Notamacropus eugenii: one gene and its partner. The protein of the gene in region 2 interacts with the protein of the main gene of each other region in a pairwise test. Links are inferred from orthologs where the notes say so. Each region holds a gene or a part of one and is shown on either strand. Other genes may lie near its edges. The genes, in order: CIAO2B and CIAO1.

Region 1 (15,283 bases), about 87 Mb from region 2:
TAGCAGTGCCTGGCATATAGTAGGTGCTTAATATTTATTGACTATGGATTTGCCCTGGGCTACAGCCAGTGCTGGTGGTAGGACCCGAGCCCAGAGTTTTTGCACTCAAGGCTGGCTCTCTTTGTTTTACACTGACTCAAGGTGCTAGAATGCAATGCCTGGGTTTAAAGTGATCTTGGAAGGGTCCTCAGCGCTCATTTACTCCAATTCTCATTTGAAGAGGGAAACCAGAGAGACAGAAATGAGTGAATGGTGTGACCCCAGGCCAAGGGCTCCCTGTTATCAGCACCCCTCCCAACTGCCCAGCAGATTAGGGGTTACCAAGGGCTATGGGCTTGCTATCTAGAAGCAGAGCTCCAAGTACCCATGTCCCTCTGGTTCCAAGGGGCTTGTTCTGCCATCAGCCCATGGTATTGAGCCTTTCACTTAGCACTCTCCCTGGTCCCCATGATTCTTCCACATCCTCCTGAAGCCACTCAGCCTCCACGCCCTAAGCTGCAGACATCATGGGCTCTCTGATGCAGGCCCAGGGACCTCCCTGCTGCTCCCCCCACCTCCTCTCACCAGCTGTGCTTCCCTGTCTCTGCTGGGAGGTAGAGGGACCAGGGTACAGAGGGGCCTGGCCTTGACCTTGTAAACTCCTCTGAAAACATACAACTTGGAAACTTTGTACCAGTGACATATAAGTTAAAGGTTTATTAAACTATTTCCAAAGTCCTCTTCAGTGGCACAGCTCATTCACTTGTATTCCCTTGTGCCCACTCAGATAGCCATTCGCCAAGCAGCCACAGTGGGCACAGCATCTCCCACGTAGTTTTCCTCAGAAACACAACGGGACATGAGGGCAAATGGGGGAGGGGGGAGGTGGAAAGGCAGGAAGGACAAAGAGGGACAGGTGAGAGCAGCAGGACCCTCAGGAGGTGGCCTCTCCTAAGTGAGCTAGGAACGAGCGGACAGACACTGGTTCACAACTTCGAGTAAATGGGAATTCTCCAGAGCTGCTGCAACTCGCTCCTTGTCGGCAAGTTGTTTGTTCACTGGAGGAGAAACAAGCAGAGACAGGCGGGGTGGGTTATGGGAGTAGTGCCCCCAGGGTCTAGGCAGCCCCCCTACTCCCCAAGCTCCTCAGCACCTCCTGCCTCAGGGAGGGGGTTCCACAGTCTGAGGGCTCAGAGCAGAGATTGCCAGAACTGGAAAGCACCTCATGGAGGTGAAGTAAAGGACCAGGACAAAGAATCTGAGTGCTGGAATGGACACACTCAAGATCTCTTCAGTCTCACACTTCACTTCATAAGAAACTGACTCCAAGGGTCCAAGGGAAGGAAACTGACTTGTCTCAAGCCATAGTTCTGGAAAGCCAGACTTAGAACCCTAAGTTCCTGACTAGGCTCAACGCCCCTTCTGCTGTGCTATCGGGAAGGGTGGGGGGTGTCAGCCCTAATTCTCTCTCTATCCAGTCAGTTACCAAGTCTGTTGTTTCTTCCTTCTGAAGATCATTCGGATTCCCTGCGATCTGTAGTCAGATGGCCACCCCTGTTCAGCCACTGCGTTTCTACACTTGGGGTACTTCACTCTTCTTCAGTCTTTGGCCTCCTGTTCATCAGGCACCAAACTAACTCTTCCTGAATGTCATTTAAACCCTCTTGTCTAAAACTCCCTGTGGCTTCCATTGTCCTGCAAGGCTGATTCTGGATGGGTCAGCACGCCCTGGTCCAGACTGGCCTTCCTTATTAAGGCCAGTCCCCTCAACTATGCTGTAGACCCATGGGGGCCTTCTATCCCGCTGGTCTTCTGTTCTCCCTGGCAGTAATCATCTTCCCTTTTTCACTAATCTGTATCCTCAGGACTTATCTCCTGTGAAACCTTCTGGATTAACCCTAATCTGTACTGATTCCCCTGACTTGTAATTTCCTAAGCACTTATAATTAGTAATTTAATAACAGCAATAGTAATGATGAGGATGATGATAAATAAGTGCTATCTCACGCAATGCTCATACTCACTACTGTAGCACTGCTCTAAACTGTTTATATTCTTCCTCAATAATTAGGTTAGAAATGCTTCAAGGGTCTCCTGTGCCCCCTCCCAGAACCCAGGTAAGCAGAAAGTACTTGGCAAGTGGTCACTGCAAGAAGCCCCAGGTCCCCACACCCGCCTCCCTGTACCCCTCTGGCCAGACCCACTTTCGTCCTTTCCCCTTCATTTAGCTGGTTCAGAAAACCAGTGGCCAGCTGTCTGCCCTGACACCCTGCTGCACTTTGTCCCCAGGAGGGACACAATCCTTGGGCCAGACCTCCATCCATGGACAAGGCTCCCTGCCCCCCAGTGGAAATACTGACAGGCAGAGAGAAAGTAGGGAGTGAGATGTCATGGGATGTTTGATGAAGGAAAGGGGGAAATTGAGGTTGGCTGGCAAGGAGATGGTGCCCATAGCCAGATTTCAATTCATATCTTTCCTCCTGACTCATCATGATCCTGGGAAAAAGGGTTGAGGGAAGGTCACTTGCCCTAATTCAGACCCCAGAAAAGGAGAAAGATTTCATACTGAGTAGATGGAATCCAGGGAAAAAAACCAACCCAATTCCATCCTTTCGTGAGTGTTTTCATTGGAACTGAGAGGGCATTGCCAGGGGGAGAAGTGTAGGACTGGGGACTATACTCACCAGCATGTTCTGAGGCATGCGTCCCAGGGGTAATGTGAACATCCATCTGGAAGGAAGAATGAAAGAACCACTAAAAGGCCTTGAAGAAGTCTGATCCTTGATAAGTGCCCATCTCCCAGGCCTCTCAGGGCATGAGGCAAAGTGACTTAGAAGGAGATTTATGGCTCTTCATTCCTCAATGGCCTTTTATAAGAAACAGCAATGTGACAGACACCTCACTTGAATTCCTCTTAAAAGTATTCAAAGGGTTAATTAACAAATCAGGTACAGAGCTAGTATGTAAGTAGGGAGCACTCATGTCCTTCACTGACCTTGAACCTTTCAGGCAGGGAGCGGATCAGCTTGACTTTGATGGACAGGCCGATTAACGTTGCCATGCTGCAGTGAGGTATTGTGGGAGTGAATTCCACAGCCACTGTACTCTCTCTGTCATTAACCTGCAGAGGAAGGAGAGACTGCTAGCTACTGTTTATCTGGGCTCTTCTCCCAATGTCAAGGTCAACTTGCCATAGGGAGGAAAACACCTAGGTCAACACTGATGCCTAAACACAAAGGCCCACACTGCCTCTAAGTTGTTTCTAAAAAATTCTGAACTTAATGCCAAATAAAAAGAACATTTTCATATATGAAGTGGAACAGAAAAGGGGAGCTCATGCATGAAATTGTGACACTCTATTATGTACAGCATGCTTTACTTTGAAGTTTATAATAAATTCAACTTGTAACTTTCAAAGCTATGCTGATTCCCTGGGCTCTTACGTGCTCTTATAGTGCCTCCTTGATGGTCAAACTGCCACAGAACTGCTCAGGAAAACTATGGCAGACCCACCTTGCTTCCCTCCCTGAATTCTCTGTGTATCAAGAATCAAAAGAGGCCTGTCATACCAGGTCTCAAACTATATTCCATAATGAAGTAACCATCAAAATGATTTGGTACCAACAAGTTAAAAAAAAACAACAGAGAGGTGATGAGTGTAACAGATTTGGCATCTAACACAGAGAGCAAATGAACCCTGTAGCAAAGTGTCTGATAAATCTAAAGACCCGAAGTACTAGGGTAAGGTCTCCCAGGAAAACTGGAAAGCAGTTTGGTAAAAACCAGGTATAGAAAACATCTCACATCATATACCAGGATAAACTCCAAAGGGATATATGACTTAAATATAACAAGTAATATCATAAACAAATTAGAGGAATAAAGAAGGAATTATATTTTGGATATATAGGTAGGGAAAGAGTTCATGATCAAAAAGGATCACAGAAAAGAAAATGGACAATTGTGATTATATAAAATTAAAAAATATGTGTAGAAATAAAAATAATTCAGTTAAAATTAAAAGGAAATTATGTTACTGGAAAAAAAATCTGAATTTCTGTGATAAAAATCTGATATCTAAGATATGTAAGGAATCGATTTAAATTTAAAAGAAGAGCCATTCCCCATTTGATAAGTGGTCAAAGGATATGAACAGGAAGGAAGAAATCCAATCTATCAACATATGAAAAGGTGCTCTAAATAAAGAGTAAAGAAATGCAACTCCGAAGTTTTACCTCATACCTATCAGGCTGTAGACAAAATAGGAAAATGACAACTGTTTGGGGGGGAAAGCTCCAGGATAATATAAGTATACACACATATGTATATGTCATATACATATGTATGTATATTTTTCCTTTTTAGAGGTAATCAGGGTTAAGTGACTTGCCCAGGGTCATATAGCTAGTAAGTGTCTGAAGCTGGATTTGAACTCTGATCCTCCTGACTCCAGGGCCAGTGCTCATCTACCTAGCTGCCCCAAGACTAGGAATACTGATACAGTATGAATTAGGCTGGCCATCTGGAAAGAAATTTGGAGCTATGATCAAAACATCAATAAATTGTACATGCAATTTGAGCCAGTGTTTAGCACAGTGCCTAGCTCATAGCAGGAGCTTAATAAATGCTTGTTGACTTGGCCCAGCTATATTATTGCTTGCCTATAATCAGGATCAGAGAAAAAGATCCATATGTACAAAATTATTTATAGTGGCTAATATTGCTACAACTTTTTGTAGTAGCAAAGAACTGGAAACTATTGCAGAATGGCTAAACAGATTATGGCATGTGAATGTAATGGGATATTATTGTGCTGTAGAAATTGGTGAAATGAATAGCTTCAGAGATACCTGGAAAAACTATATGAACTGATGCACAGTGAAGAGAGTAGAGCCAGAAAATAGAACAATATAAAGAAAACCAACTTTGAAAGCATTCTGATCAATGAAATGACCTATGCTCATGATTCCAGAAGACTAATGAAGTCTGCTAGCCACTTCTTGACAAGTGATGGATGTGAGATGCAGAATGAGACACATAATTTTGGACAGAGTCAATGTGGGAATCTGCTTTGCTTGATTATTCATATTTGTTATAAAAGCTATGTTGTTTTTCCTAAGAGGGGAGATGGAAGGCAAGCAGGGAAAGACATAGGGCTGCCAAACCCTGCGCCCCACCCCCCCCCAAAACTAACATTTACATGGTGCTGTAAGGTTTGCAAAGCTTACAAATATTACCTCATTTAATCCTTCCAACAATCCAGGGAGATAGGTACTATTATCATCATTATAGAAGAGGAAACTGAGGCAGACAGAGGTTAAGTTACTTGCTCAAGGTCACACAGCTGAGTGACTGGAACTCAGGTCTTCCTGACTCTAAGACTGGCACTCTAACCTCTGGGCCACCTAGCTGCCTTTCTAAGACAGTCATCAAGGCATCTTTTTTTAAAGCACAGAAAAGAGACCGGAAAGAAGCCCAGGAAACAGCATAGGCATGCAGGACAGTTTTGAAAGCTATAGGTTAAACTTAAGTACTTATTTTAAAAAAAAGGCAAGTTCTCCATAATAGGGAATCTGCAGCTTCATGTATAATCCTCTTTTTCTGTTCTACTATGAATATGGAAATATGCCTTTTCATTTTGGTATTACGTTCATAACATTAAAAACAGTTCTGTATGTAGTGTTTCTTCTATATTGAAGGAAAGAATTCTACCTGTGTACAAAAGAAAACAGCTATCTTAGAAGCTGCAGCTCCATCCAAGGAGAGAAAGTCATGGGGGATTTGAGTCCTTAACAATTCCATTCAATTAATATTTATTAATGGCCTGCTATGTGCCAGGCACTGATAAGTGCTGGGGAATACAAAAAGATGGAAAAGACTGTCCCTACCCTCCAGGAGGTTCCAATTTAATGGGAGAAACAAATATACACGTAGCAATCTAGGTCAGGAAAAATAGGAAATAATGAATAGGTTAGGTACTGGAGTGAAGAGGGCTTGGAGAAGGCTTCCTGTAGCACTTGGGTCTATGGGGGCTTTAGAGGTCATCCGGGATAAAGAGCATGAGTTCTGGAAAGGCAGGAGTTCCAGTTCGGACCCCATCACTTCCCAGCGGGGAGACCTTGGGTGAATCACTTCTGTTAAACCCTGCAAACTTCCTAAACTTAAAGCACAAACTCGTACAAAAGGATGCCAGCTCCCTTTCCTTTACATCCCCTGCCCTCTGCACAGTGCCTGGCACTTCATAAAAAGCTGCTGAGAACGCATCCCTGAGAATGGGGGCATCTCTACCCGGGGAAGGGGCAGAAATCCCCAAGGTGACGGTAGGACAACCCCTCCTTCTCCCTCCCCACCCCTTCCTCACTTTCACCCGCACTTGCTCCACCACATTCAACTCCTCCAAGGTGAGCGGGTGCTCGGGGTCATTGATGGACCGGATCAGGTGTGCGCAGCGAGTGAAGGAAAACACTACTGCATCACGGCCAGCAGGGGGCGCTCCAGAGCGCTCTCCCCGGTTCCAAGGCCCCGCCCACTTCCCCCAGGAGGATCGCGCTTACGCCCCGCCCCCACCCCACCCGGGCCCTGCCCAACTCCCGAGGGCGATCACGCTCACGCCCCCACTCTCGCGTAGTCCCGAAGCCTCGTTCCCGCCCCCGCCCCTGGGGTTCTCGGCCCGCTAAGCTCCGCAGGCGCGCGATTTCCCACTCGCCAGAGGATATCGAAGATTTCCCGGTCGTCGATGCTGTCGGGGACCTGCTCGTCCTCCTCGCCCGCGGTGACAGGCCGCTCCCCCGACCTTTGGTAGATCAGCGGGTTGGCGTTCTCCAAGAGGCCGCCTAGGCCCGCGCCGCCGCCTGCGCCCACCATGTTATCCGGACCCTAGGCGGGCCGTTCAGGGGGCGCCCCTGCCGGCGAGGCTCACTTCCGGTGTGCGGCTTTGGCCGCGAGCAGGCAGAGGGCGTTTCCGGGAGGGGCGGCTACGGTGGTGCGGAGAGGACAAAAACGTTCCCCTTGCGTTCTAGCGCCGCTCCGCCGCTCCCTAAGCCGCCTAAGGGGAAAGGACGGGGAAGGGCTGTGAGAATCAGGGGGTCGGAGGCGGCCGCGGGGAGGCCGCTGGACCCGTGCGTTCCCTGGGCCAAGTCACGACACATCCTTGGGCCGCAGCCTTCCCGGTGTAAAATGGGTGGCTTGGACTGGGGGACCTGGAGGCGTGGCGTCAGCCTGGAGCGTGCCGGTTAATGTTTAACCACCGGCTCTCGGCGGGGGTGGGGCAGGGGCGGGGACGTAGGACGGCGTGCCTTTATGTTCCTTCGGCTTTAGTAACCTTTCTTAAGCCTAGATGACCCGCATGACCGAGCACCCAGCCCTGATTTGTAGCATTTGCAGATTCTGAGGCGAGGTGGACGGGTCTACACTGGAAATTTAACCCGGACTCTTTCCAAACCGGTTCAGCAGCTCAATTCAGGAATTATTGAGCGCCTTCTGCATGCAAGCCTTCCACACACAAAGACAAATGAAACTGCCTTTGTTTTCCAGGAACTGGCGCCCTACTTGAAGGAAATAATAATAATAATAATAATAATAACATACCTCACATTTATATGCCTGTTACTACGTGCCAGGCGCTTCGTGATTATTGTCTCACTTGATTTTTACAAGCGCTGATATCCTCGTTGTACGGAGGGGGAAACTGAGGCAAAGGCTAAAGCGCCTTGCCCAGGGTACTGCAGCTGGTGTCAGAGGCTAGATTTGAACACAGGTCTTGGAGACTCCAGGCCCAGCTTGGTCCGGTGAGCCATCTAGTTGCCTGCAGCAGGTTGGGATAGACCTTGGCCACAAGAACCCAGAGCCTGAGATGCCTCTGGCACACCCAGGCCGAGGGGTCCTGCAGATCTGGAAACGAAGAGAAGGATTTCAGGCTTGAGGACAGGACCTGGGAGCCCTCTGTGTAGAGATGGTCATGGAAGCCAGAGGACCAGAAGGAAGACACACCATTAGCAAATCTTCCTTTAAAAGGAGTCAGAAGGTTTCAAAGAGGCGTTTGCACCCGCAGGGAGCCTTGGATCACGCCGTGTCTGGCTGGCTCATTGTGAGTGTCCTGCTCCTTCTTCTCTCTCTGTGATCTCATCTGTCTGTCTCTTCTGCTCTCTCTGCCCCCTCTTCCCCCCAGGACTCCAAACCTACTAAAAGCTTGACCCTTTCTCCTTAACTCCAGGCCTACCTGACCTGCTGGACACCTCCACCTGGAGGTGCTAGGGCACCACATATACACATTGGGACTCATTATCCAGTCCAGTGCTCCACACAGCTGGGAAAATGATATCCCTGAAGGACAGATGTCATTCTTCAAAAAGTTCCATTGGCTCTTTATTTACTCTAGAATTTAAAAACTACAAAACCACAAACCTACAAAAAATCCACAGTTTGACATGTAGATCCACTTACAATCTCGCTTCTGCTCACCCTAACAGGATCATCACACCTTTCTACCTTTCATGCCCCATACATTCAGGCCAAGTTGGCCTTGCTGTTTCTTGTGGGCAGCATTCCGTCTTCTGTCCCCTGTCCTGCACAGATGGTCTCCAGTGGCTCGGAAGATCATACTCCTCCCCTTCCCCTCTTAGCATCCCTAGCTCCTTTCAAAGCTCAGCTCCAGTGGTGCTTGCTAACATATGTCTTAAATCTAGGATACGCTTAACAAGGAGTGCAGGAAACATATAATGAGGTAGGGAGTTGGTATAGATAGTCCAGTGGGTACTGAATATCTTTATGAGCCAGTACAAAGCCAGTTCAAACTAATAATTCCTACAGGTATGGTTTGTTAACTATGCCAGGGAGAGAGAGAAGTGTTTTGCTGGGGCCACTTGTGAGTGATTGCTAGGCATAGTGTCCTTGGGGTGGGAAGAAACTTCCAGGGATAGTGTTTTAAGGCTAGGAAGAAATGTGATCTTGGAATTAGGGTCCAAGCACAGGCACTCAAGCACCTCATCAGTACCATGCAAAGATGAGAGTTCTAGATCAGTCTATAACATGATGTGCAGCTGTATAAAACTTCAACTATATTCAGGGAAAAATCCAGCATCAAGATGGTGCAATGGATAGAGCCCTGGGCCTGGAGTCAGGGAGACCTGAAACAAAATCTAGCTGCAGACACTTATGAGGTATGTGACCGTGGGTAAATTACTGAGTTTCTGTCTGCCTCAGTTACCTCAGCTGCAAAATGGGGATAATAAAAGCTCCCACCTCCCAGGGCAGCTAAGTGACTCAGTGCATGGAGCTCTGGGTCTGGAGTTAGAAAAGCTCATCTTCCAAAGTTCACATCTGATCTCAGACACTAGTTGTATGACCCTAGGAAGTCACTTCATCCTATTTGCCTCAGTGTCCTCATGTGTTGAATGAACTGGAGAAGGAAATGGCAAACCACCCCAGTATTTTTGCCAAGAAAATCCCAAATGGCGTCACAAGGAGTCAGATGCAAGTGAAAAACGACTGAACAACAATTCTCAGGGTTGTTGTGAGGCTCAAATACAGTAACATTTGTAAAGGGCTTAGCCCATAGCCTGGTACATAGTAGGTGCTTAATAAATGTTTGTTCCCTTGCCTATTTAAAGAGCATAGTTTGAAGCATATGATTAATAGGTTCTGTTGTTCAGGGTAGAGTATCTCATTAAAAAGTTCTAAAAAAAAAGTTAAAATTCATTGTGCAGGTACAGGATAGAGAACTGGCTTGATAATACTTTATACAGAAAAGCTGGGAGAATTAATAGATGTCTTTCTCAGTGATTCAGGTCATTGGAATTCATTCTTGTTTGTTCCCCCTCCACAGCATGTCTACCCACACCATCACCTGCAGACTTGAAGTCATCGTCGCTGCTCACCACGTATCGTCTCTCATCTGAATTCTCATTATCTCCTGTCTCCACTTCACCCTCCACTCGGTTACTAAAATTATTTCCTTTGTAGTGGTACAGCAGCCTACCTTCCCATTTACTTCACATTACATCCTCACTTCCATGAACACTGTGTTCTGGCCAAGATGATCTCGGCTTGTTATCTGAACTTGGCATTCCATCTCACATTTATTTAGTAACTAAAAATTTTCAAAGCATTTTACACATATTTGCTCATTTGACCCATGAGCCAGTATCTTGTTTTTTTTTTATCATCCTTCAGATCTGGTGCCAGCCTATTGTTCCAGCCTCATTATATATTACCTGCCTTTCCCTCCTCTTCCATCCAGCCAAACTAGCCTTTTCTTTTCTCTCTACACATTGACCTTCCCCTTGCCTTTGTATCCTTCATGCCTGGAATGTAGTTCTATCTCACCTAACAGAATCCCTCACCTTCTACACACTTTCCTGGTCTTGTCCCTCCCCTCCCACCCCAATTGTTAGGACCCTTACTCATTAATTACCTTGTATTTTTTTCTTTACATGTTTATTCTTTATTTTGTTGTCCTTTCTCCTGCCATGATATAACAAGTAGCTCCCCTTCTGGATGACTTCCTCTTTTGTACTCTTGACTTGTGGGTTGGGTTGCCAGAGGGTTGCTACTACTTTGAGTTCTGAGAGTAATCCTTTGGGTCTGCACTCCTAATAGTGTAGCTTCTAAGCCTATACCAATGTGTTTTCCATTAACAGTCAGTATATACAATTACTATGCAAGGGCATAGTAAGGTGACATTGTAAAGACAGTAGCTTTGAAACATTCCATCTGTTAACAAAGGCATGCTTGACATAGACCCAGCATTGATAGGAAGAATGAATTCATACTTAGAATATAATGGCAGTGAGAGCAATGAGGAACGTTGGTACACATATGGCAGAGGCTACTCACAATTCCTGGTACTATAGAACTGAAAGTCCTTTCTTCATGGAGTGCTCCATTGGGTTCCCAGGGTCTTTTCTTCATAAGCACCTAGGTGGCTCAGTGAATGCAATGCTCAATCTGGAGTCAGGAAGAGTTGAGTCCATATCTGGACTCAGACATTTACCAGCTGTGTGACTCTGAGCAAGTCACTTAACTTCAGTCTGCCTTGGTTTTCTCAATTATAAAATGGGAATAAAAGCACCTATCTCCCAGGGCTAATGTGAGGATTAAATGAGATCATATTTGTAAAATGCTTGGAACAGTGCCTGGCACAAAGTACTTATTTATTTACTTCTCAGCAGCCAAAGGTCCCATTCTTTGTTTCCTCCAAGTAGTATCTGTATCCGTGTGTGTTTCTGCTTTTTTAAACTAAGCATTGTCCAGGTGAACCTGGAGAACTCTCAGTCTTCTGGATGAAGTCTCTTAGTTTACTACTAGAGTCCATGGCTGATGAGGGTGGTGAGGGAGACAACTTCCTTTATGAATCTCCTCCTCAAAACTCTCCCTAGAGCCTGGACTCCCCTAAAACTGACCAGGTCTGTAGGGCTTAGCTGTTGAAAGTCTACAAAAGCGTGTCTCTTTGTTGCTTGTCTAATAATGTTGTTCACTTGAATTCTATCAGGGAAAGGTATTCACATGCCAAAGGAGGATCAGGGAAACAAAAGGACTCAGAAAATTTGAAGGGACCTTCATGACCATTAACTTCAACCTATGCATGGAAGGAATCCCCATTATAACGTACTCAACAAGTGGAGTGAATGAAGCCTGCTTAAAGACCCCTAAGGAGGAGGAACTCTCTCTTTGACTTTTGAGGGGGCTCTAATTATTAGGAAGTTTTTCCTACTTTAAGCCTAAATTTGTTTTGTTTGCAACTTCTACCTCTGACTTCTGATTCTTCCCTCTGGGGCCAAACAGAAGAAGCAAAGTGCCCATGTCACTTCCCTGCTGTAAGGTCTGATGTCCCTATGCATTGGGATATTCTCGGCTTGTCCAAACAAAGGAATTAGTTTTCTAATTTCTAATATGGGAGCTGCAGATTAATTATAGATAATAGTTTAATCAACTGGGTTACTTACATTAGGGGCCCGTGCTGTGATTGGTTAAGCTTGTTGTCCTTACATTAACTTGTCAGAAAAAGTCATGACAAGTCTTTCATTGAGGGTCGAGAAAATCAAATTATTCTAATCCCATTTTGTAATCGATTCCATTCTCTGTTGTAAAATTGCACAAGCCACGTTTATCCCTGAACCTAGTTCAGAAATTCAGCTGACTTGTACTAATTTAAGTTCAGAAACTGGGCTTATCAAATACCATTGCTTCTTCCTTTACTACCCACAAATTGTAACAATTGTGGGAATTTTCTTATTGGTCATGTTGTTTTCTTACCTGTGCTTGTGTTGCATTTGCAGTTTATGTCCCTTCTGGCTATATCCCAAATGACCCCAAAAGCCCCAATGTAGAACCATGCCAGGGACCTTCTGAAAGATATTCAGAAAGAATGCATGGGAGGCTTTCAGGGGTGGATTGTGGGGTTCCTTTTGGGGAAAAGGCAAAAAACACAGTGGGATATGAAAGTTATAACTTAAACATAGACATGATGACCGGTACATGACCAGTCCCAACTCTGTGTTTAGGCGTTTACCCACTAGCACTAGCTTAATGCCCAAGCTCAAAAATAAACTCATTACTAAGCTAAAACCCGTAATCTGTAATGACATAGCCTATATACTCCTCCCTTGTCTGTTTCCTATAATTATCACTGGGCTTTCCTGGGGTCTTTGCAGATTGCATTCTCCATTATTGAGACTGTTTTGTCTGACAGCCTCCCCAGACTCCTTAGATGTTCCTGCTAAAATCTCTTATGTAACAAATCTCAATATAAGTTGGCACAGCCTCTGAAATTTCATTTTCCAGTAACTAATTCATGTTGTGAAAACCAGCACAAACCTTGGACTTCTGTTCTTATTAACAATAGAGCTATAAGGGGAACATCAAACTAGGAACCCATCGTTGATTTGAAACTTCAGAAAATCTAAATCTTTGCATATCTCATTAGAATTAGAAATTTATATTTACATACAGGATTGTCTGATCTTGTTAGTTTCTCACAATTTTCCTCTCATTCCAATTACTTTAGGAGGATCAGATGTTATTGAAGAATCAGTCCTATGCATGAAAACATAAGTAACGACACTTGCAGATAGACGCTTTCCACACCTAAGTTCAATGGTTACACAAATGAATTTACTTATTTACTTATACGAGGCTGACTTTAATTATAATAATTATAATAAAATAGTATAATAAAATTATTTATAAATATAAAAAATTATATATATAAATTATAATAAAAGACATGGGAGGATACTTAAATAATTAATTCCAAAACAGTACATATCAAATAAGTTGTTTATAATAAAATATGTTTGTACTACAGGACATGCAGTACAAACAGGTATTATTTCCACATTACTAATAAACTTGAATGAAATTGACTTTTTCATTAATATAACACAAAATATTCCATGAGTTACATCCCTCTAAGAAACTGACTACACTAAGATTATTTTCCCCAAATCAAACTGAAGATATTTCTAATTTAGTTTTAATAATTAATAGAATAGCTAGGTCCCACAAACAGCTGTATCAATGCCTAGTTATCCTTACACAGTTTTGAAACATTTTAAGGACCTTATTTCATGCAGACACATGCATATGTATATACATATACATACATACACACATATATGTGTGTGTGCCTGTATGTATAGTAATAGGCAGATGATTAGGCCATAGACTCATTTACTAAGTTGCTGAGGATGTAAAATGGCTACGCATTCAGATTGAAAACAGTAAGGTCATGATCACATACATGGGCATTATGCCCATGTCTTCTATTGATCACTTGCTCAGAGTAAGGGAATTTGCTATAAAAGGAAAAAGCAGCGACAGCATTATAACACACCAAACTGGTCTTTAATGATTCAACATCTATATGGCAGGATAAAGCATCCTTAGCTCTGTTTGACTTCAGGCAAGAGTCACAGTTGACAACCAATCTTGCAGCAACAATTCCACTGCTTAGCCAGATTTAGGAATAACTAGGTTTAAAATATTCCTGTTCAAAAGGAACACAATGGGGATACCGAGACAGAAGGATCCTACCTTAGCCTAAGCCAAAGGTTGTCCTCTCGGCTTTCTCCCAAATATAAACCTCTACCCATGACAGATCAGGGTCACGTTTCCTGAGTAGCTTCTAGCATTTCTCTCAAGTGGTGGATTATTGACTTGATCCATCAGACAATACCTGAACTCAGACCTTAAAACAAAATCAGTTACAGTCCCAAGAACTTTTGCTTCAAATGGCAGGTTTCACCAATCACAGCTAGGGTTAGATAGTTATTTTTCCTCTCATGGAGTTACAATAAGCAATAAATTTTTACCAGGACTCAAACATATATGAAATTTTACTTAATATTTTTCACTTGTTTTTATTTTCTTCTCAAGTTCGAATTTGTCCTACTGTAAAGACCAATCATTAGAAATCATTTGTATATTATACATAATCTTGCTGCACACCCTCATATCCCTCCTTTCCACACACAGTAATCAATTACCAATTTTAAGTTTTAATATTATAATAACCTGAATAACTTAGTTAACACTTTTACACTTTCATAAATGATGGCCAAATTGCTGTAGATGTAACCTCTTAAATGCAGGTAAAGGTGAAAATATCCAGTTCCCTAAATTGCATTTATAAAACATAAAACAGGGTTAGTAGGTCTAATAAAATAACATAACTGATTTTACACAATTTTTCTACCTTGTTTTAGTTTCTTTCAGTTCATACTCTAATAATATTCAAGTTATAAAAACATATGTGGTGCAAAAATTTACCAATTTGTACAAATTATGTATTTGAAACTTGAAACCAACCCATTACTGATCAGATGATGCCAATCCTGTTGAATGCATTTCCAAATTACCTTATGCAGAAAATCAGGCATCTCATCACCACTAGCATCTAATCTAATCTAAGTCACATCTAAAATCCCATACAAAGTTATTAAGTATGAAGCAATTACATCCAGTTAAGGAAATAATAATGACAGTTAACATTTGTAGTGTCTGCCCTTTGCCAGGCATTGTGTTAAGCACTTTACGCTCATGTGAAGTGAACTGAGGTAACTTGTTTAAGGTTACCCGGTTAACATTTTCCCAATTTGTCTTAATACCAAATAATATAATAAATTCTGACCTGTCTTAAGCATCAAATTAAGAGAGACATCTCAAATGTGTCTCATTAAAATGTGACCAGAATAAATTCAATTACCTTTTGATTGTGTCCTGGTACACAAAAACTTTTCCCTTTTTCGTAAACCAGGAAAGGGTTAAGTGCCAGTGCAATTCCAGAGTGCAAGCCCTGAAACTTTCA
Region 2 (15,167 bases):
TAAGGTCCTTATTTTGTTCACTTTTATAGAAACGTGAGGAGGGCTGGTGGGTGGTGATTGGAGACTCCAAATCCAATAGCCTCATCTCCATCAAAAGATTGACACTACAGCAGAAAGCCAAGGTGAGTGAATTGTTCAGGCATTACCTGGTGGGGAAGGAGCAGTACTGGAGGGAGGTGGAGAGAAAGGGCAGGTTCTCTAAATCCTAGAACTGCTCATCTTCATTCTTTCTTTCCTTCTCTAGGTGAAGCTTGATTTTGTGGCTCCAGCCACTGGTGCCCATAATTACACTCTCTACTTTATGAGTGATGCCTACATGGGATGTGACCAGGAATACAAATTCAGTGTGGATGTGAAGGAAGCAGAAAGTGATAGTGATTCTGACTGAGTCCCAGGGAATTCATTTAGTCTCACAGAAAACTAGGATTTAAAATGTGTAGTTGTCTCAATCCCTGGATTTTCAAAGATCTGATATGTGAGGGAATCATGCTAGTGTTGGCTTAGCTGTCATGATTTTCATCCTTTATATTTTGTTTAGCCCTAAATCCCCTTAGTAATATGAAATGTCTACTGGTTTTTGTTGGCTATGCTGAAGAATGGAACTTGTACAGTTTTTTTTAATGTGGTTCTTTGTAGGTCTTTTTTTGAGTTTTGAATATTCTAGTAAAATTATTTGAAGACTCCCTGACTTGACTATCTTTACTTTTTGAAAGGGTTCTGTTTAGTAGTAAAGGTTCATGGACAGCCCCTTGCCTAAGGTAGGTATTCCATCCTGCTCCATTGGCCAGATGTAACTCCTCAGTACAAGTAAATGCATTATGAGGCCAATTGCTATTCTCAGGTAACCACTCCAGAATTTTTGGTCAGGGTTCAAGTTCTCACTTATTACCTTCCTCATTAACTGAAATGAGGTCAGGTCAGAAACTGGGTTTGTGGTTTAGGGGATGACAGGGGTGGCTAATTCAAATCAGGGTAACATGTTGGCCACTAGTACCCTAGCTTCCTTGGAACAGCCATCCTACAGGCTGGTCAGCATTATGAAGTCCTGCAGTTTCCAAGCACCAGGGGGCAGCATAAATTGCCCAGTGAGCCATATAGTACAGTCATATTATATTATTACATAGAGCTTTACACACAGCTTTCTTCACTTCTTTTCAGCTCATATGCACAGTATTATTTTAAGTAGATGATCCAGGCAGGTTTGAGAAGCCAAAGTTGGATGTGCTAAATCTGTGGATTTCCTTGAATTGCTATCTTCCGCAACTTCTTCGAAAGCATGTGGAGCTGGAAAACATGCTAAATTTGATCTGAAGGAGACTTGAACATTTTTGGTAGTGAGTTATTCCTGGGTTCCATTCAAAACAGGTTGTGGAGTGCAAGGCACACTTGAGTTCTGGCCCTGCTTGCCTTCTGCAAGAAGCCTTTCCTGGTCCCCGATGTTAGTACCTTCTGAGATTATTTCCTAAATTTATCCTTTATATAACTTGTTATATAGATAAATGGACAAGAAGGTGCTAATAAGAATATGAGCCACTCTTATTCCTAAATCTGAGCAGAACCAGCTCTACTGAGCTGGTCCACTCCCAGCTTCCCTGTAGTCGCTGGAAATTTTTCTATGGGTCATGAATACTTACAGTGGTCATAAGGCTGGCAAAAATGGCTTGGGAAACTGAGATACAGAGCTGAAGAGAAGTGATTAAAGGTGTACTGAAAGGTATTTCTAGCATCCAGTACTGTCACTCTCTTTTAAATAGTCAATTTATTCACTTTGGTGGGAATTTCCCAAAATGAAATTGGACATATACATAGTATAGATATTTAAGTAATTAATACTCCATACCCACCTGAATGCAAACAAAAGCTGAGGATAAGATTTTTAAAACATTTTATTTTACACGATTGAACTAGGGGGCAGGCCCCAAGTTGCAGGATGGAAAAATTAGTGATTCTAGCGCAGGGGATTAAGTTCAAACATGAAGAGAGTGAAGTGGGCACTGTGCTTCTTCAGGCTTTTTATGTAGACTGGGAAAACTGATTCTCATTTTTTTCCCCTCTGGGAAAAGTCAATATTATCCCTCTGCTAAAAGTTTCAGAGGATGTGGGTGGCGAAAAGGGCCTTAGAGACCTTCTGGTTGCTGGTATTTCCAGAAGGCCATCTCACCATCATCACTGCAAGAGGCCAGTAGCCCTGGCTCCTTGGGGTTCCAAGCTACGCAGTTCACATCCTGGGAGTGGGCCTGGGGTAGGTGAGCTGTTAGGGAAAATGATGGCTGCTGAGGGTCTGAGCTGGGGTCTTCTTCAAATACCCGGATGGCATCATCACCACAGGCTGTGGCCAGGGCCCCTGTTAGGTGACACCTAGGAAGAAAGATGTTGCTTTTCAATGCATAGGTCAATTCTAAGCAGAAGTGGAATCGTGATGTTGGGGAAGTGGAATCGTGATGTTGGGGGAGGTACTAGTTTTCCCAACCTGGACTCTCAATTCCAGTCTCCCTTAGAATTCAGCCACAAGTTTTACTCACGGTCTTCCTTGAGCAGAATAGAAATCAACCCATATAATCCTAACTTTTCTAAACCTCTATGAACATTATTATATGCAATTTTAGAGGTAGTTTTAGCTTGGCAGAGATTGAAGGAAAGGTCCCCTAAGCTATTTTCAATACAGAGGTCTAGAACTCAACCAGAATTTGTGCTGAAACTACTTTCCAGTCTTTCTTAATATATCATAAGGGAAATAACACCATATACTCCAGACACAGAGGCACTCATTTTTTGATAGTTATAATGACTGAGAAATAGTATTCATATCATCATAGCCCAAATCAAGGTGATCTCCAGGCCTACACACCTTCTTTCTAAATACTCCCAGACTAGAGACTACTGTGCACTTGTTATATCAGGCCAGTACTGGCCACATCTGGCAAAATCAACAATCTGGCTCAATCCCAATGAGCAGAAGGCAGTGCAGCATATGCATGTACCAGCTTTATGAATGAGTGACTTACCAAGAGACATCATAGATGGTTCTAGAATGGAAGCCAGATAAGGTACAGATACACTTCCAGGTAGGGTCAGAGCCATTGCAGACCACTCCTGTTAAAAAAAAAAGTCTCCAATTAGTTTGAAAAACATCCAAGTTACTTCTTGTAGCAGATGTTCTCCAGAGGACTCTAATCCAAGTCTTAAGAGAAACCATTCTCTGCCTTAAGTTTCTGGCAACTCACCCTGCTCATTGCCTGGTAGGTACTGGCGCCAAATGCGCACAGTGCGGTCATCACTGCAAGATGCCAGGCGCTGGCCACTGGGGTCAAAGGACAAGCTCCATACTGTGGACTCATGGCCCTCCAGGGTAGCATAGCATACCCAGTCATCCTCTTCCTCCCGGTATAGCTTTATCGTGTCATCATAGCTGGCTGATGCCAACAGCTAGAAGGAGCATACACAGGACATATCAACATTGCTAGGGATGTTAGAATAGCATCTGTATAGTGCTTTCAGATTTGCAAACATCACAGGTGTCACATTTACACATCTCTCTTGATCTTGACAGGTATCGTCACTCCTGTTTTACAGATGAGAAAATTAAGGCAGATCACAAAGCTAGTAAAGGTCTGAGACAGCTTTGAACTCAAGTCTTCTGACTCCAAATTTATCCACTGTACCATCTAAGCAGCCTATGTTAAGGAGTTATGGAATGACCACTATCTCTTCCCACTATTTCCCACAGACTTTTACAGCTTGGAGGGGCTTTATTAAGGCCATTTCTAAGAGTAGCTTCAAGGTTTCAGTTTGCAACACAACAGAGTCCAAGTTCAGGAGGGATAGAATTAAGACTGTTTAACATGAGAGCATCTCAGCAGTCCCATATTCAGATACTTTTTGTGCCAAGAGATGCCCCTACCCCAGACTCTTACCTCTTGGTTAGGGTGCCATATCACATGTTTAACATCCTGTGTATGTGAATTCAAAACACTGACACATTCATATTCATCCTCTTCATCAACTGTAGGAGGTAAGGACACTGTAAGCCCAACAGCCAAACCCATCAAGGCAACATTTAACAAGGAGGCAATCCACCCCCTTTCTTAACTCTCCCCCAAGCCATGCTACTCACCTTCCCAGACCCAGACACTCTTGTCCCGGCTGCAGGTAGCCAAAAGGCTACCAGATGGGGCCCAAGCAACTGACTTTACTTCATTTTCATGTCCTTCAAGGGTGGTTACACACTGGAAAGTATAGTGGGTGAAAGTCAATGAAAGGAGAGGGTCCAGGAAGGCCTTTCTTGATCCTCCCAATCACTGCCTTTTCCCTTCCTCCATCTTAGATAATTATTTGTATACATTTTGCATTTATCTGTATTTGCATGCTGTGTTACAGCCCCAGCCTCCCCTCCTACAAAGTGCCTAGCACTCAGGGAATAAGTAATAATGAATACTATATTAAACGCTCAATTGAAATGAATGAAGAATGCCCAGCACAGGCGGGCTCTGCCAGGAAGCTGGAAGAACCTGTCCGTGGTACTCACGCCTGCTCTCCAGCCTGCTCTCCAGCCTAGTTACCTCGAACTCGTCCTGGTTCCTCTTCCAGATACAGGTGGTGGCATCAAAGCTTGCCGACGCCAGGTAGCTCCCACAGGGGGACCAGGCCACCTTCCTCACGGTGCGCTGGTGACCCTCGGCCAGAACAGACTTACACACCCAGCTGTCCCCTGGGGAGAAAGGATGCGGGGACAGCCTCAGCCAGGAGCGGGGCGTGCGGAGGAGGGGCTCACCTCAGAGCACCGCGGGGACCTCACACTTTTCTTTTGGGGGGCGGTGGAGGGACGTGACTGGCGGGATGGGGGAGGGGAGGAATCTGGGGAACAATTCCAGGATGGTGGGGGGAGGCAGGTAGCGTGACGTGCAAAAGCTCGGAGCCGGGAAGACCTGGGTTCGAATTCTGCTGACAGTAGGAATCAAGGGCGTGTTATCAGAACCTCTCGGAGACGAGGATCACCCCGTAATCTTCCCTCACTCGACTAGGGAGCGCCCAGAGCTTCGGGAACTGAAGCGCTGGTGCGTGCTATCACTACGCCCGATTTGGGGGCGGGGGGCAGGGGAGGCCGAGGGCCCCGAAGGGAGGGGGGCGGGGAGACAGAGCCTTACCCTCCTTGCCCCAGATGCGAATGCTGCGGTCACCGCCGCACGAGGCCAGCAGGGTCCCGGCAGGATTCCAGGCCAGGAACCAGCAGCGGGAGTCTGGGTGGGCTGGCACGCGGGCCAGGAGAACCAGGGAGTCCTTCATGGCGGAGCTCCGGCTCGGCTGCACTCCGACGCCCCCCGCCCCGTAGGAGGCCGAGTCAAGGTCCGGTCGGAACTCTAGCAGTAACTCGCCTGCAGACTCCCGCGGCGACCCCCAGGGTCCCGCCACTTCCGCTCTTGGGCCCCAAAGTCTCCTGGGAACTGTAGTGCCCGCAGGGTCCGGCTGCCGTACTGCCTTCTGGGAGTTGTAGTTGTCGCCTGGGGCCTCGGAAGCACGATCGGCTCTTCTGCTGCCTCACGAGCCGCGGCCGGCTGGCACTCCGTTCGCAGCTAAGCGGACTCTTCCCAGAACAGGATCCGGCGGAGCCCGAATAGTCCCTGGATGCAATACCGGAGCAGCAGAGACGGGGTGGGGGGAGGGGAGGAAAGGGGAGGAGGCTTACGAAACACGCACGCGGCGTCATGACGAGTGGGCCGGGGAAAGGAGGGGTGGGGGCGGGGAGCGGGGTGCGGAGGGAGGAAGCCGGAAGTGGACCGGGCTCTGGCCGAGTCCGGGCGTTGCGGTTTAGGGCTCCGGGATCGCTCGGCCGGGGAACCTGGCGGGCGGACCCGGGGCGGGGAGCGGAGGTGACGGGCCCGGAGCTGCGTGTCGCGACCCCCGGTAAGAGGTGAGCGGAAGGATGGGTAGATGGATGGATGGGCCGGGGGATGGGGGCTGTCCTGGGATTGCCGGTTGTACCCCCCTCCCCCAGCTGGAGTGACGGGCTCGGGCCCCCCTCTCCGCCGAGCGCCGGGACTCCGCCCCCCCGCTGTGCCAGGGTGCGAGCCGGGCCGCCCCCCACAGCACCCTCCTTTTCTCTCCTCACCCAGGCTTTCGGTCAGCTGAGGCTCGGCAGCGGGCGAGCAGCGAGCGATCAGTCCCCAAGGATCGGGCCCAGCCCGGCGGGCTCCCCGGCATGTACGCCCCGGGAGGCGCAGGGCTGCCCGGTGGGCGCCGGCGGAGAGGCCCAGGGGGCAGCGCCCTGCCCAAGCAGCCCGAGCGGAGCCTGGCCTCCGCGCTGCCGGGGGCCTTGTCCATCACTGCCCTGTGCACGGCGCTGGCCGAGCCGGCCTGGCTGCACATCCATGGGGGCACCTGCTCCCGGCAGGAGCTGGGAGTGGCCGACGTGCTGGGCTATGTGGACCCAGACCTGCTCAAAGGTAAGGATGCTCCCGACGTCCTGGGTGGGGGAGGGGCCGGGGGATGGACGGAGCCGAGCCGGAGCCGGAGCCTGTGGGGGCAGCCGTCCTTCCCGTGCTGGTGCCCACCAGGTGGCTCTGTCTGAGGCGACCCAGTTCATTAATTTTCATTCTATTTAGACAACCTCTATGGCATACTCCATAGCTGGAACATGCGGATTTTGACAGCATCCAAGGAAACCCTTACCATTTCAGAATTGTCATTATTACTGTCAGAAAGCGAATCGGGCCGCTTTAGTGGCTTCTTCATCCCTGGAGGGCTCCACAGAGTGGTCGGGTGACCGACCACTTGTCCAGGCTTCTGTAGATGGGGCTTAGACGAGGTGACCTCTGAGGACTCTTCAGCTCCAAGATTCTGGTTGATTGGGATTCTTCCTAAAAGAAAGAGAATAAGTAAAAGGGAGCCAATTAGGAAATTACCAGGGTACAGGAAGGATTCCTGATGGTTATCTGATAGTGAGGTAGGACTTTCAGTAGTGCTTAAGGTATCTTGTACTTCACTTATTGGCCTCTCTGAATGAAATGTCATTTTCCTCTTTTCTATGTAAATTCGGTCAAATGTTGCGGTTATTGGAAATGTTACATTGTACCTAACAAGCTCAGTTGATTGATTCCTTTTACCTCTTTACCTTTCTTGTGAGATAGAAGAAAACAGATTATCCTCCTTTCTTTGTTCATAGAAGAAAACCAAGGCCCACAAGAGGGTGTTTGTGTCTGTGGTGCATATGCCTGTGATTTGTGTGTTCCTGTGGTGGAGTCGTGAATGGAATTTGGGCATTCTGCTTTTCACTCAAATACTTTTAGAAGCCAGATCTGTTTTAGTGACTCATTGACAGTAGCAGTCTACAGTTTTCAGGACAGCCAGTTTTCCTCATAACCCTTACAAAAGTGTCCTTGTACACTATAAGACTATAACAGATGTTATATCGGATTATGCTAGCATTCTGTTTTGACCGTCATTGTCTCTGACAGTGGCATTAAGGAATGTTTGGTTTGGAAGCATAGACATCCTTCCTTTGACTTTAATCTAAAAAGTTATCTATGATCCTCAATATCCCCAGCTTTTAACACGTTATAGACATGATGTCAATGTATTTTTAGGCCAGTCTTAAACTTTCTCATATTTATATTTATCCCATAACACTTAAGGAATCTGACTCTTTCAAACTCAAGGGATTGTTTCTCCTATTTTGAGAAATATATAAACAAGTTTCTCTGCTGACCGTTGCATATCTTTGTATGTTGCCCTGCCCTTCCCTTCTTATCAAGCTGAAAAATCTCATCTTTTTCACCACCTTTCAATTCTCTTGATTGCTTTAGTTGTCTTTAGATCCTTCCCCAACTTGATGATATGTTTATTTAGGAAGCCCAGGCTTCACGCAGCTGTCGAGATGTAGACGTACTATGATTTTCTACGTATACTGTGTAACAAATTCAGTTTTTCTCCCTGGTGATACACAGTACTACATTGGCCCATTGGGTTGATCTGTTCAGGGAACGGTTTTGGGACAGCACTTAGATCTCTTTCCTGGTACATATCTGATAGCTCAGATCACAAACTAAGTATGTAATGTAAGTATGTTTGTAAGTATGGTTTGTATAATTGTTCCACATTAAAAGTCATATGCCATTTTTCTAACTTTGTGATGTTTTCCTATAGTTTATTGTTTTGTATTTCATCAATTGGGAGAGCTTAGCATCTGGCTATCAGGAAATTTTACTTTCTGTGCCCTGTATACCATCATTCATGGGAGAATTGTGGAATAAAATTTTAACATTGGAAGTGTTATTGGATAAAAGTGAAGTGAATACTTTAATCCTGACTTCTCATTCTACAGCTGAAGAAACTTGGACCAAAAGTAATTGTAACTTGCCTAACGTCACACTCCTAATTAGAACAAGAATAGAGTCCCTAGGTCTTTTGACTCCAGTATTTATTCTAGTATGGTACCCTATACCCTCTTTTTTACATTTCTTAATCCATTTTTCATTTCCCTATTAAGATTGCCCCTTGTCAAAAACAAAGCTTTCCCATTGCCAGCAATTCCGTTAATTCAGTTTGGTTGTGGATCCTTGTCACAGGCATTTTGAAGATCCACTATATAAATTAGGTATATAGGATTTCCCTTGTTTATGTGTTTGTCTCTTCCAAAAAAAGTATATAATACAGTATGATTTCATAAAAAGGAGGTGATTCACTCATGTCCTGATAATGAGAAATCATAAATGGAGAGCCCCAAGGCTTCACTGATCCCTGCAGAATGTTAAGAGAGAGGCCTCTCATACTTTGGGTAGATCTTCTATGGAAGATGTCTGTGAGGTCATGAATGCCAGTAACACAGGATAAAAGGTGTGTGGATGTATTGCCTCCTGCAGCATTAACGTTACAAGTCTATTGAAACATTAAAGACAAATTAAGTATTGAATATGTTTAAAAATTGGATCATATTGAATAGGAATATTAAAGACCAGTGCAGTGAACTTTTCCTTTATTATAGTTTCTTTACATAATAACTTGGTAAATAGGACCACCTCTTTTATCTTCTTCATGCTAGAATCATACAAGGCCTGTTGGTGAATAAATTTGACATTGGGAATGATATCCAGTTATCCACTCACAGACATTAGAAAAAATAAAGCAGTAGGAGAGAGCCAGAAGGGACGAGTATCTGGTAGTGTATCTTACTTACTTTATACTTACTTTCCTTTTCCTTTTTATGCTGAAGCCCATAGGAGTTTTGTAGCCCATAAGAGAACCAGATTAATGAACATATAGCCTAGTCTTGGTTCCAGCTCTTTGGGGGACTCTGAAAGATTGTCCTAGTGCGTCATAGAAATCCAGGATTTCTCCTATCCCTGAACATACCAACAAAAGGGAAGGTTATTAAAGCCTCCGGTTGAAAATCTGTTTTCATTTAATTAGTTCCTGAAGGAGGAAGAAACCCTGGGAAATCTTTGTAGATGATTGGGGAAAGATGGACAGTTAGCCTTGGACTGAATCAGAAGGGAATTCTTCTTCATTAAATTAGAGCTATCCAGGGTTTTTCTTTTTCAAGTTTAGTATCTTCCAAAGCCAGTCAAGGCTGTCGTCCTTATCTTCTTGGCTACTTTGATGTTGAGGCTTAGTGTTTTACAGGGAGAAATATTTAGCTTTAAGCAATGATTCAGGAAGCTTTGGAGACTGGCAAATACAGGCTAGTTTGATCTCATTCGGGTCATCCTAAATTGCTTCAAATCCCCTAATCGAAGGCCTGCCTTGTATAGAGAAATCAGGGTTAGGACCAGCTCAAAGGATATCTTCAGCTTTCCTGTGCTCCAAAGAGGTTAGGGTATCCTTCAAAGAAAGACTAAAGTGATGATGACTCTCAAATGGAAAAGCTTTCTTTAATTCCCAGGTCTGTTTGCTGGGTGGTGTATTGGATACAGCTTCAGGAGTAACATCTTTTAGGAATGCGGAAGGTTGAGATTTGTTGCTTGATGAATCATTGTTGATGATCAGCCATTGGAATTTCAAGTATCTTCCAGGGATTTGACAGTACATCTGAGGTTTAGTTGGCATATGTGTAGCTAGATCCTTCCAGGTGCCTTTAGTTCATTCAAGACCAGATTTATATATTTCCTTTTGACTTTTTGGTTACTATGGTGACAGACTCCCTCAGAAGACTATTAGGATCAAGTGTCAGCTCCCTGTCTTGGATTCAGTCAAATCAAGGTGGAGAAAAAAAGACTAAACAGGTGGGTCTTCTTAGTGCTAAGAGGAACTGAGTCCATCAGAGGTTTTTCCCATCTGTCAGGCAGTAACCTGAAGTTGACAGGGGCGCCAGTAAGACAGAGGGAAGAAGAAAAGGGAGCTACTCTGAAGCAAAGTTAGGCATTTCGCCTGCAGTCTGTCTGAGTAAGGCAGTGACTGGAGTGATGAACAGGCAGACAGGAAGAGCCAGAGCTTTCAAAACAAGACCAGATTGGTGACTCACCAGTGACCTTGGGCAAAGTCAATTCCCCAGGATCCTGTTACAGATGACAACAGACCTTTTTGTGTGGCCAGAGGTGGCAGTCTCGTTATGCCCACCAGCTTAAAGAACTCAAGAACAAAATCTGATGACATCCACTAGGGACTTGTCTTCATGTCAGAGTAGAATAGAATAGAACAATTGGTTTAAATTAAAATAAAGAAGCTTCTTTCAATCCCCACTGCTTTCTTTTTATTTTTTAAAAATTAAATTTTTATCTCTCTTCTCCTTTCTTCCCCCTGCCCCAAAGTAATCATTTGTTCTAATTTTGTCCTTTCCTGAGAGGACCAGATTTTATAATAACATACCATCTTATATTTATATAGTCATTTCAAGTTTTTATAATATTTTCATATTCATGAACTCATTTCAGTTCCAAACAACCACCCTTTACATTTTTTTTCTGAATTTAACCTATGCCAAAAAAAGAATATTTCCATATACTAAATAGAAAGAAAAGGAGAGTTATGTGTAAAAATGCAAATATCTATTATGTACAGCTTGTTCTTTAAAAGTATATAGTAAAATGGTCAAAGGATATGAATAAGCAGTTTTCAGAGGAAGAAGTAAAGCAATCAGTAGCCATATGAAAAAATGCTCTAAATCACTAACAATTAGAGAAATAAAAATTAAAACCTTACACCCATCAGGTTGGCTGTTTGTTGTTGTTCAGTCCTATCTGACTATTTGTGACCCCACTTTGTATTTTTTTGGCAAAAAGATACTGGAGTGGTTTGGCATTTCCTTCTCCAGCTCATTTTACAGATGAGGAAACATGAGGCAAAGATGGTTAAGTGACTTGCCCAAGGTCACACAGCTAGTAAGTGTTAGAGACTGGATTTGAAGTTAGGACTTCCAGACTCCAGGTCAGGTGCTTTATCCACTTCACCGCCTATCTATATATTGGCTTTGCTTGACTGGCTAAGAGGACAAAGAAAAATGACAAATTCTGGAGGGGTTGTGGGAAAACAGGTATACTAATGCACTGTCTTCTTATTGAGTGGGGGAGGATGAAAAAGAAAATTTGGAATTAAAGATAGAATTGAGTTGTAAAAAAATTTTAAGTATATAATGAAGTCATATTATTTTCAAAGCCATGCTGATTATCTGTTTCCTTCTGAACTTCCTTCATTTCTTTTCTGTGCATTTTAAGAATAATGACCCATAATTTTTTTTTTTGGCACTCTTAGAAATAGTTCCTTTTCTCCTCTCCTACATTATATCCCAACCATAAAAAAAAAAAAAGAAAACACAATCCTTGTATAAAATAAACATAGACAAGTAAAATAAATATATAATTTGCTCTTTCAAAAAATATGTCTACTTCTACACCCTTAAATCTGTCACCCCTCTGTCAGGAAGTGGGTAATGACTTCTTTGCCTATCTTTGGAATCATGGTTGGTCGAAGTTGTTTTTCTTTATTACGTTGTTATTGTATAAATAATTTTGTATCAATTCATACAAATCTTCCCAGCATTCTCCAAAACTATAATATCGTATTAGATTCATACACCATATTTTGGTAAACTATTCTCCAGTTGCTAGGCACCTACTTTGTTTTCAGTTCTTTGCTGCAACAAAAAGAGCTGCCATAAATATTTTCATACATTTGAGTCTTTTTCCTTTTTGATCTCTTTGGGCTATAGAGTTGTAGCTGGGCCAAAGGGTATACATAGTACAAATGTGCATTTGGGGGCATAGTTCTAAATAACTTTTCAGAATGGTTGGAGCACTCTGGTACATGAACAGTGCATTAGCATATCTGTTTCCCCAAAGACCCTCTAACAATTGTTATTTTCCTTTGCCATCTTCAATGCCAGTCTGATAGGTATGAGCTGGAACCTCAAAGTTGTTATAATTTGTATTTCTTTAATTATTAGGGAGTTGCAGCATTTTTTTTATATGGATGTTGATAGCTTGGATTTTTTCTTTAAAGAACTGATTGTTCATATGCTTTGATCATGTATCTTTTGAGGAACAGCTGTCATTCTGATATATTTGAATTAGTTCCTTATGGATCTTTGATTTCTCTTTATCAGAGAAACTTGTTGCAAAGAATTTTTTTTTCCAATTAACTATTCTCTTTCAAAATGTAACTAAATTGATTTTGTTTGTTGTATCACTAATAGTGGGATAGGGATTCTGAGGAAAGTGTACCTGAGAGAGGTTAAGTGATTTGTCCAAAGTCACAAAGCTTTTAAAAAGCAGAACTTTTCTTCTTTTGAAGGTCATTCAATCCAGATTTATCATTCAGTCCAGATTCAAGTGGCTGTTACCTACTAGTCCCAAGGACATTTTCCCTCCCTTCTACGTTAATTCAGTTCCAGACTCACTGTCTTCCTGTCTGCCTCAACTCTTTCCCCCGTTCTAGAGGACTTCAGCATCCTTGTTAATGTTTCCTCAGATACCCTCACTTCCCAGTTTTTCAGACCACTCAGCTCCTATTCCACTTGACCTGAGCTATACATAGCATCATCCCCTTGACATTGATTATCCACAGTTCTTCTCCTTCCATGTCAAGTAACTATATCTCCTTAATCTGATCCTCTTTTATTTTTCCAGCTCTCTCTATACTTTAGCCCTCCTACCATGACATCCAGTTGCACTCCATCCCAGCTCACTTCTCCTACTCTGGCTACATGGTCCTCCTTTCCCAGTCTGGACCCCTTAGTGAACCAGTTTAACTTTATCCTCTGCTCTTGCATCTCTAGCTCCCTAGTCCTTTTGCCAGTCGCTCCCTGCCAGACCTGAACCTTGGATCACTTAATCCCATTGTCTGTCTCTTCTGTATCTATTCATTTGGGTCCGTTATAAATTTATGCTAGCTGATCTCAACTGGGACCTCAAGTTACAGGAAGCCAGTCTTTTCCTCTTCCTTAGATGTTTCCCTGTTCTACTCACCACAATTTTTTCTTCTCAAACTTCTCACACCACTGCCTCTTGACTCCCTTCTCTGCTGAGGTCCTCACCTCATACTTTAACCAAAAGAATCAGGACATTTCACTGAGGCCACCCTCTTCTCCCTTCCCTCTTATCCCTCTGACATGGTTCCCCACTATCTCCTCTTTCACTCCAATCTTTGATGAGCCAGTCCATCTACCTGCACCTTTGATTCCATCCCTTACTGTATTCTCCAGCTCCCACCATTATCCCCTAATCATCATTCTCTCTCTATCTACTGACTTCTTCCCTGCCACCTAGAAACCTGCCCAAGGCTCTCCCATCCTTGAAAAATTCTCACTTGATGCTATCATGCCTGCCAACCATAATTCTATATTTCTTCCCCTTTGTGGATGAACTTGAGAAAACCTATGTAATCGGTGTCTCCACTTCCTCTCTTGTCATTCTCTTTGAAATGCTTTGCAAGTTTGGCTTCCAGCCTCATTGTTCAACTGAAACTGCTCTTTTCAAAGTTATCAGTGATTTCTTAGTTGTCAAATCTAATCGCCTCTATTCAGTCTTTATTCTTCTTGAGTTCTGCATCATTTGACTCTTCTTCAGCAGCATCTTCTGAATCCTCTCTCTTCTCTGGATGTTTGGGACTCTGGTGTCTCTTTGTTCTTCTCCAACAAGTCTCACTGTCCCTTCTCATTCTCTTTTGCCAGATCTTCATTGATGTTACACCCAGTAACCTTGTGTTTCTTCCAAGGTGTGTTCTGGGTCCTCTTCTCTTTCCTCCCTAGCCTCTCATTTGATGACTTCATCAGCTCTCATGGGCTCAGTGATGTTTTCTCTGCAGGTCTATTTATCCAGCCCTAGACTCTTTCCTGAGCTCCAGTCCTGCATCATCAATTGCCTGTTAGTTATTTCAAAATAGATGTCCCATAGGAATCTTAAATGCAGCATGTTCAAAACAGAACTCAGGAGCTTTCCCATCAAACTATTTCCCTTCTCCTGAGCTTCCCTATTGCTGTCAAGGGAACCACTGTCTTTCCAGTTACTGAGACTTAAAACACAAGTGTTTTCCTCAGCCCCTGACTATGTATGCCCCCTGCCCAATCCAATCAATTGTCAACTGTCATTTATATCTTCTTAACATCTCTCATATATTCTCCTTTCTTTCCTCTGCCACTGTCACCACCCTGGTGTACAGGGCTTTATCATCTCACAGCTGCAGTAGTACTTCTTCTGGTTCCTCTCCCATGCCTCATATCTCTCCACCCTTCAGTCCATCCCCCACTGAGATGTAATTTTCTGAAAGTACAAGCACAGGTCTGAGACACACACACACACACACACACACACACACACACACACACACACACACACGCCCTCTCTATTCAGTACACTCCACTGGCTCCCTGTCACCTACAGGATCAAAAATACAATTCTCTGTTTGCCTTTTAAAACCTTTCCTAATCTGGTCCCTTTCTGCCTGTCTAGTCGTCTTACATGTATGCCACTCTGTGTACTCTGTACTCCAGCGACCTGGTCTCTACCATCCCTTGATTCTGAGCATTTCCTCTGGCTATCTCTCATGCCTGGGATGTCCCCTTGTTCCCCTCCACCACTTTCCCTGCCTTTCTTCAAGTTCAAGCTAAGCTGAGGCTCCTGTAAGAAGCCTTTTTCAGTCTTCCTTAATTTTCACGTCTTCCCTTTGAGGCCACTCCTAGTTTATGCTGTCTGGAGTTGTCTAGTACAGAGTTGTTTGCTTTTGTCTCCTCCTTTAAACTGTTT

The links.
Region 1: the proteins of CIAO1 (region 2) and CIAO2B interact in binary tests that used the Homo sapiens proteins (3 or more experiments, as listed by UniProt). The two-hybrid records come from large-scale screens. The link is inferred for Notamacropus eugenii from reciprocal best matches to the Homo sapiens genes CIAO1 and CIAO2B.

The regions. Positions count from the first base shown.
Region 1 is NC_092872.1:693,998,476-694,013,758, forward strand, and holds CIAO2B (cytosolic iron-sulfur assembly component 2B), read right to left. Parts: upstream 7,148-15,283; 5' UTR 6,844-7,147; coding exon 6,696-6,843; intron 6,421-6,695; coding exon 6,341-6,420; intron 3,101-6,340; coding exon 2,975-3,100; intron 2,710-2,974; coding exon 2,664-2,709; intron 1,038-2,663; coding exon 940-1,037; 3' UTR 667-939; downstream 1-666.
Region 2 is NC_092872.1:606,922,345-606,937,511, reverse strand, and holds CIAO1 (probable cytosolic iron-sulfur protein assembly protein CIAO1), read right to left. Parts: upstream 5,554-15,167; 5' UTR 5,284-5,553; coding exon 5,145-5,283; intron 4,709-5,144; coding exon 4,560-4,708; intron 4,227-4,559; coding exon 4,115-4,226; intron 4,004-4,114; coding exon 3,915-4,003; intron 3,427-3,914; coding exon 3,225-3,426; intron 3,094-3,224; coding exon 3,006-3,093; intron 2,359-3,005; coding exon 2,118-2,358; 3' UTR 1,869-2,117; downstream 1-1,868. Other genes in the region: SNRNP200 (U5 small nuclear ribonucleoprotein 200 kDa helicase), read left to right, coding at 30-122, 245-388; TMEM127 (transmembrane protein 127), read left to right, coding at 6,197-6,440. UniProt on the Homo sapiens protein: Key component of the cytosolic iron-sulfur protein assembly (CIA) complex, a multiprotein complex that mediates the incorporation of iron-sulfur cluster into extramitochondrial Fe/S proteins.